Nothobranchius furzeri: one gene and its partner. The protein of the gene in region 1 interacts with the protein of each later gene in a pairwise test. Links are inferred from orthologs where the notes say so. Each region holds a gene or a part of one and is shown on either strand. Other genes may lie near its edges.

Evidence for each region.
Region 2: the proteins of wdr6 (region 1) and g2e3 interact in a two-hybrid assay, tested with the Homo sapiens proteins (2 studies listed by BioGRID and IntAct). The two-hybrid records come from large-scale screens. The link is inferred for Nothobranchius furzeri from reciprocal best matches to the Homo sapiens genes WDR6 and G2E3.

The regions. Positions count from the first base shown.
Region 1 is NC_091755.1:33,778,267-33,782,192, reverse strand, and holds the start of wdr6 (tRNA (34-2'-O)-methyltransferase regulator WDR6), read left to right. Parts: upstream 1-1,139; 5' UTR 1,140-1,500; coding exon 1,501-1,570; intron 1,571-2,715; coding exon 2,716-2,850; intron 2,851-3,163; coding exon 3,164-3,926. Other genes in the region: uncharacterized protein, read right to left, coding at 524-854. UniProt on the Homo sapiens protein: Together with methyltransferase FTSJ1, methylates the 2'-O-ribose of nucleotides at position 34 of the tRNA anticodon loop of substrate tRNAs. Required for the correct positioning of the substrate tRNA for methylation.
Region 2 is NC_091758.1:18,092,857-18,096,724, reverse strand, and holds the start of g2e3 (G2/M phase-specific E3 ubiquitin-protein ligase), read left to right. Parts: upstream 1-1,009; 5' UTR 1,010-1,131; intron 1,132-1,717; 5' UTR 1,718-1,733; coding exon 1,734-1,791; intron 1,792-2,410; coding exon 2,411-2,508; intron 2,509-3,868. UniProt on the Homo sapiens protein: E3 ubiquitin-protein ligase which accepts ubiquitin from an E2 ubiquitin-conjugating enzyme in the form of a thioester and then directly transfers the ubiquitin to targeted substrates. Essential in early embryonic development to prevent apoptotic death.

The DNA of each region.
Region 1 (3,926 bases):
ATGAAAAAGTTCAATAAAAAAAAAAAAAAAAAAAAAAAAAAAAAAAAAAAAAAAAAAACATGTGGAGTCCACTGAGGAGAAAGGAAAATTGGAGTTTACATACAACTGCTGTTTTATATAAAATGCTTTGGCTCAAATTAAAATTGCCAATAAAATGCACAATAAATACATTTATTTATGCCTACATATGAAATATTCAGTTAATTACTAAGTCAAAATACGCTGACTAATTGAGAATAAAACAACGCAACTTTAACTGAAAAATGTTATTAACTTTGTTTCTGTCTAAGGAATGTTTTCTTGACCTTGTGTAAATTTTAATAACATTTGGTGTATGTAATCCGCTTTAAATCAATCTACTCTACATGAAATATCACCTGACAAAAATAGGGTAATTAAATTTATGCTGCTATTTGATATTTATTAATTGCAGTCCATACAGTTTAAATTTAAATTCAACAGCAGAAAACCTAAGCCTACAACATTCCAGTCCTAAACAGCTCCATATTCTCTCCTTTTGTACCTGGATAATGCCTGCCTGATGCACCAAAGGACTCCACGAGTGATGTCTGTTTCACCCTAGCTGCAGGTGATGTCTGTTTCACCCTAGCTGCAGCAGCAGCACCTGGCTCACTCCTCTCGTCTTCTGTCCTCTTCACCATGAAGTCGTCATATGCTTTCTTATGGTTTACTTTCAAATGTTTAACTAGGTTAGTTGTGTTACCACAATGCCTCACAGTCTTCCTACAAATGTCACAAACTGCATTGTTTTTATCAGAAGAGCTAAAACTGCTCCAAACATGACTCCGTTTGCGTTCAGACATGTTCAGACCGACTAGTACCGCGCATGCCATGCACTTCCAAACCGTGAGCTTCCGGTTCCGGCAGCAGACAACATAAACAGGGAGCCCAGTGTGCGCCCCCCAGTGGTGGGTTAAAGTATTTATATTGTGCCGTATCACGCACCACGGTTGGCGGAAGAAGAAGTAGTTCTGGTCATAAAAACGTAATTTTTGAAGAATGACCAGCAAATTAATAACTTTAAATCACTCAAATATCGATACTTTAATGACAGTATCGATTCCAAAACATAAATAGCCAGATTCGGAGTATCGATACTTTAGTATCGATCCGCACATCCGGAACATAAACACATGTGGACCATAACGCTTCTCATAGAACTCAATACAATTGTTAGAATTTATAGCCGAAATGTGTTTGAACTGTATTTGAACGTCAGGAAACTAAACATAACTTTGTTTTGTCATTGAAAGAGCTAATTTCAGTTTTTTTTTTGTTTATCGACGTCAAACTAGATAAATGTTCCTCCCTTTAGCTTGTTTGCTAACTGATTGCTCGTAAGTTGTTGTTTATGTTTTATGTATAACGCCATATCTGACCTAATCATGTTCAACACACGAGTAAGAAATCATGACTTAAAGGATTATTAATCATGCTGTTTAAGTAAAAACGACCAACTTTTCTATAAAAACAACAAAAATGGAGACCGTCGCCCTTGTTGCTCCAATCACAGCTTTGGAATTCCTTCAGGACAAGTTTCTACTCACTGGTAAGTTACAGCTCTGATTTTAATCATGGAACTATTTACTTATAGCCATATGCTGAAGGCAAAAGTCATGTATAAATGTATTTTGGAAGTAAGTTTGTTGAAGTGTCTGAAGTTTTTTGTGCTGTTGAACCAGAAACTGTTGAGCTTAATCAGTCGTGGCCACCGTTTTATTAATATTGACGACTAGGTCACACTGTATAACCTTTATATATTCATTCTGGAACTATCTATCAACCGTCCAATGATCCTTCTGTCCAATGATCATGAATAAGTGAAAACACTTGAGATGCTTCCAAACAAATAAGTGATATATTGTAATAATGAGAAGCAGGTTACAGGCTTTGAGCGATGACAAGAGCATCAAAAGTCTAAACAAATATCCTGGTAGATGGAATGAATAATAAATGTAATTGCTGATCAAAGGATATATTTAACATTTTACAGGTTTATAGGGTAAAGTAAAATAGTTCACCTTATAATCATTTGGCTGCCATACCTTGCACAGATTAAATATTATTCAACAACTATTAAAGAATATTAAATATAAACAATAATGATTCATCCACATTAGGATTCATAACCTTTATAAAAGATCACTTAAAGGAAACATATTACTTTTTTCTTATGGTATTTTAGATCTATGGCTTTTACAAAACACGTTTCTGACCATTTTGCACTAAATCTCCTCACATTAAGCAGTTTGAGAAGTTTTATTCAATACCTTCTAGAATGAGCCGTTTTAGAGCTCTGTCACTTTAAGAAAATAGTCTAAAACTGGCCACACCCACTCAATTCAATTCAAAAACACTCATCCCTTGCTCAGGCTGCTATAAGCTGAAGAGCTCCAATATCTGAGAGAGGCTCAGAGTAGAGACGCTGCTCAAGCTCGATGAGTTGAGGGTTGGTTCTGTGCTAATTTCCTCGTTTTTGACATTACAAATGGGGACTTTTTGAAACCTCTTGTTTTAGACACAATTCCTAAACAAAACACCGACAGAAAAAGGATTTTTTTTTCACAACTGACTGGATTGTTTACTGAGGCAGAAGAGAGGCAAGTAGCAGCATAAAGGGATGCAAAAGGTGAATGTTGCGTAATTTGTCCCCTTTAACGGTCTTAAATTGTCTTTTTCTTTCCATCCTGCCAGGTGAAGGTCCAGTTTTGTCAGTATACAGTCTCCAGCCTCACCCAAAAGCCCGCGCCTCGCTGAGTGTGCTCCTACATCACAGAATCCACGGGATAAGACCAAGAAGTCCAGAGACCCTGAGCCAGAAGGAACATGGTTAGAATAGCAAGTTCTTGCTGTTATCATTCTTTTAAGAAATTGCTTTGTCTTTACAAATATAATGAAAATGATTGTGCAAATAACTGATGATTTTGAAAGCAGCCAACAGAAAAGTTGTATTTTTTTACACAAAATTTAAAACATTAAGCACAAAACACACCAATATAACAAATTAAAATAACACATTAAATGTCTGATTGCATTTAATTGATTCAAATCACTCACAACCTCTTATTGCTTTAGAGATTTAGAGTTTAGGGTGTCATTACAAACAGATTTATGAGATCTCCTCTCCACTCTCATCTCCTAGTAAAGAGTTCTGCCACAGAGCTGAACTTCTACGACGTGCTGGTGTTTGGAGGCAAAGCTGTGCGCCTAGTGAGGCTCCATGTGGATTCACAGGATGTGGAACACCTGCATCTGGAGATCCTGGGTGCCCTCTTGGAGCTGCAGGACTGGGCTCTGGACGCTCGCTGGCTCTCAGGAGGAGAACAGTCACTACTCTGTGTGGCTGTCGCTCACAATGGTGCTCTTCTCCTGGATGTTCATACAGGAAGTACTCTGGTTGAGTGTTTTTGTTTAGAGGGCTGTTTGCTGTATTCTGCCCTTCTCCTGGTTCATGAATCCTGGGTGGATACTGTCTTAGTAGGGGGGACTGTTTTCAACCAGTTGGTCATTTGGAAACCAGGGGGATGTCACGAAATGAAGGATTCTGGGTTTAAAGCCCCAGTTGAACGACATTTGTTGGGCCACAGCGGCGTGATCTTCAGCATCTCTTACCTCCGGGAGAATGGGTATCTGGCTTCAGCCTCTGATGACCGCAGCGTGCGGATCTGGGATGTAGGTGCTTTGGGTGGCCCTGGAGGGAAATGTGGGGTGTTGGACCCAACTTGTTTACGAGTCCTTTATGGCCACCAAGCCAGAGTGTTCTCTGTGTGTCTTTCTCCAGGGAGAGTGTTTAGTGCAGGGGAGGACGGGGCCTGCTTAGTCTGGAACTTAGCTGGAAGTGGGAACGTGGTTCGAACACTGAAGGGCCATCGAGCGGGGGGCGTCCGTGCTCTGGCGATAAGCGT
Region 2 (3,868 bases), on another chromosome or scaffold:
ATGCCACCGCACCACTCCACTTGCACCCACAGCCCTCATGGTTAAACAGTACATGCTACATGTTAAAATGATAGTTAGCTAGCTACTTCGATAAACTCAGCTAGTTTAAAGGCGGCAGTGACCTAAAATACATACATTTAATTTAACTTACCGAAAAAAAATGAAGTGGAGACTCCTTGGATGCTCTATTAGTGCAATTAATGCCACAGCAAGTCATTTTGTCCAACAATTGCACCAGTAATATCCAAAACAGAATTCACAAGCACAGAGACTCAAAATCCCGAAACAGTTTCCAGGAGAGACCGAGGCTATACTGAGGCCTTTCCACGGAACTAGCTCTGTGGTCACGTGGGTCTGAGGCGGTGGTCACTTGTGTTGGATGCTCATTAATTATACAGAATTTTAGGCTTTCAATACACTTAAACAGAAGAGTGAGAAAAAAATTCACCCCCCTCAGAGTTGCCATGAGTGTAAACTAGATAATTTAAACAAAAAACATGTTTTGGTACCAGGCTGTAAACATGTTTATTTCTACTGTGAAATTGGTATTTTTAACATGGGAGTCAATGAGGATTTGCTCGCTTTTGACACCAGCCCCCAGCGGATGAGGGTGGAACTGCAATTTCTGGTACTTCCGGGTTGGCCTCAATTTTAGAGCTGCATTGTGGGCAATAATACCTAGCTGCTCGTTATTGGGGCCTATGGAATCCCATTGTCCAGTATATATGTCTATGGTTTGGAGAGGGTCTGCAGCTGAACTTCACCGAGGTCCAAAATAGCTGTTCTGTTGGTGGCAGGACAGTCTACTTAGCGAGGGAAGACTGTCAGCTGCTAAATGAAATAATCAATTGTGGGAGAGAAAGACGATCAATATATGTGTCCGTGGACCAAAAAGTCATAGATACGTATATAAACATGTTTATATCATCGACATTAATATATACGTTTATATACGTGCCAAAAACCCAAACACAGCAGACCGGAAACGGAAATGAGCGGCTTTTGTTTTGAAAAGAGGGAAATTTAAACTGGAAGGCGTCAGAAGCTGCAGACGTAAACTGGAAATCGATTTACACAAAAAACGGACTCGTATTTGGACACAAACCAAAATTCTGCTTCCTTGGATGTAAAGTAAGAATTATTTAGTCGCTTCGTGAGTGATTTAACTTTTTCGTGTTCGTCGAGCGCTTAGTTATTCGTGTCTACGTTCGATCAAGTTCAGATGTTCGAGTGTTTTAAAGAATCCATTGTTTGAAAAAGTGTTCTTATTTAACTCAACCTAAAATATTATTTGGTTAAACTTTCAAAAATCACGAATGTATTGTGTTCTCTTTGTGAGTTTTGGGTTTGACTTGGTTACATTTATGTTCCCTCCGAGTCGGTTAGCTGAGTTGGAGCAGTTCAAATGTTCACCAGTGGATCACAGGGGGACAGACTTATATCCAATCTTTCAGGGGCAATTCTGTAGGTGATGCACCACAACTTTGAATTTGTGTGTGTGTGTGTGTGTGTGTGTGTGTGGGGGGGGGGGGGGTGGAGGTGCAGGAAGATGATTATTAGCAAGGTATACCCAATAAAGTGGCCAGTCAGTGTACACATTGTTGGTGTGGTTGTGCTTCAGGAGGCTGAAGCATGTTTTTTTTTCTTTGTGTAGATGATCTAAATGGTGTGTTTTATTCATGACGATGATTTGCTAGCCTTCATCATTCGCCAACAGGTGGAAAACAACCAGTATGAAGAAGAGGGTCAAGATGCCTCGCTCCACCGATGGATCCACCAAGCAAGAAGATCGTGAGTGATGTCCACACCTAAACCTGTTCTTCATAACGGTGATAAACAATCTGGGGTTCATGCCCCCCCCCCCCCCCCCCCAAAAAAAAGAGGGTCCCAACAAATATCCTATGCTGAGGTTGTGAGGTTACTAGGATTACATTTGTGAAAACTATTTTATAAAACCCCAATGACACAATAAATAGTACAATCTAAACTTTGCAAAAGAGCCATTCTGTAATGTCTTTATAAAGTTTGTACTAAGGTCTGATCTGACTACAAGGTGTCATCAACCTGTGACTTTAACTGCCCTGGTACTACATGTTACAATGGGCATCTTCATGGTCATGTTCATCATGGTGGTTATTGTGGCCAAACTGTAACTGAAGAGCTGCAAAAGGCTCCAGCTCCCTGGGATAGACCCAATACTGGTTGACCAACTCAGAGCAGTATGCAGAAAACATGAGACTCAGGTGGTAATACCTAAGACTTTCATGCTTAATGGTCCAGTAGAGCAAAATGTTTGGAGTTACAAACTGTAAGAAACTTAGGTCAGTTTGTAGAAGTTCTAGAATCTGTACACACCACAAATGGAAGCTTGTAACTATGGATTTGTGTATGTGTGTGTGTGTGTGTCCAGACTGTGTTCTGTGTCGATTCGCTGATGATGACCCAGCCTTGTATGGAGAAAAGGTCAAGCTCAAGGATCACAACCTCTCCGTCCACTACTTCTGTTTGGTGAGTTTTACTAAAGGTTAAACTCTTCATCATCACGACGTCCTGAGGGACCTTTCGGTTCAGAGTGAGTGAAGACATTTTTATCCTTCTGGAACATCCTATTGTAACGTTTGTAAGTGGTTACTTTTAGTAAATTGTAAATAAAATATAAAAGTATTCAGTAAAATTTAATATTTTATAAAAAATATTAATTATCAATATTATTGAACCTTTAGTATTCGATTGATGATGAAACTAGGTAATTTGGGTAACGCCAGGAAAACGACACTAATCATTTGACACAGGGGCAAAAATATAGTTTATAAAAATCTATTTACTACTATATTTCTATGATGATGTAATGCACATGATTATAAATGGTGATTCAAAGTGATATCAAACGAGACAATGAATGAACTCCGATGAAACATGACCATGCATGTTTAAGAGCTTCACTAAGTGACTCAGAAAGGTGTGATGTCTTGGTTTATAAAATAAATTTGACTGTTTAATGCGGTTTAACAAGTTATCAAATTAAAATTGACTCATCAAACGCCAGTGCAGAAATGCGGTCCCACATGTGTATGGAGACTCCTCTGCGATCCTGCTGAGCTAAAGTTCTCCTTGGAAAGCAAAATGTTTGACACCTGGATGTCACGGGCCGTATTCGCACCAGCTGGTCAGAGGTCGACTCCCGGGCTGCAGGCGGACCGTTTCACAGCTCATGAGTTGTTTGTAGATGATGGAGTAAATAATAATAATTGTTTTATTTTGATAGGACAGCTCTTTCTGGCGCTAAAAACTAATCCACAGAAAAAGCTGGCTTGATTTCCCCTGGGATGATAATTTTAGCATACGCTGGAAGCTTCTGCAGGAACTGAAATGCCTAACATTTCTTATTTATCAGTTCTTGACAAATCCGAATCTAACAAGTGTAAATGGGCATTAACAGGATCCTCAGCCGCTTAGAAAAGCTTATTTCACTTAATATGAAGTAAATATGTTCCTTTGTTAATATACCAATATTAAAATGTGAATATACTGATAATTTAAGATCTTTAATACACCAAATAAGTCTACCTGTTGAATTTTATAATGAAATAAAGCATTATTTCCAGAATAAACATTTGTGTTGATTCATTTTTTAATATAAAATGATTATTAAACCACTTTAGATAAACATTCATTATTTAATGTAATTGTTCTTAACCTGTAAAGTGAAGAAATCATTTTATGAGCCAGAATAAGATATTTTTATTAAAAGGAAGTTGGATAAAAGTCTTGTCTCCTTTAGAGATGTCTTGTGAGGAGACCTTGAAGTCAATAAGGATACAGAAAGGTCAGGAGATATTCATTAATGCCTCTTCCTGGTGTCGGGCCA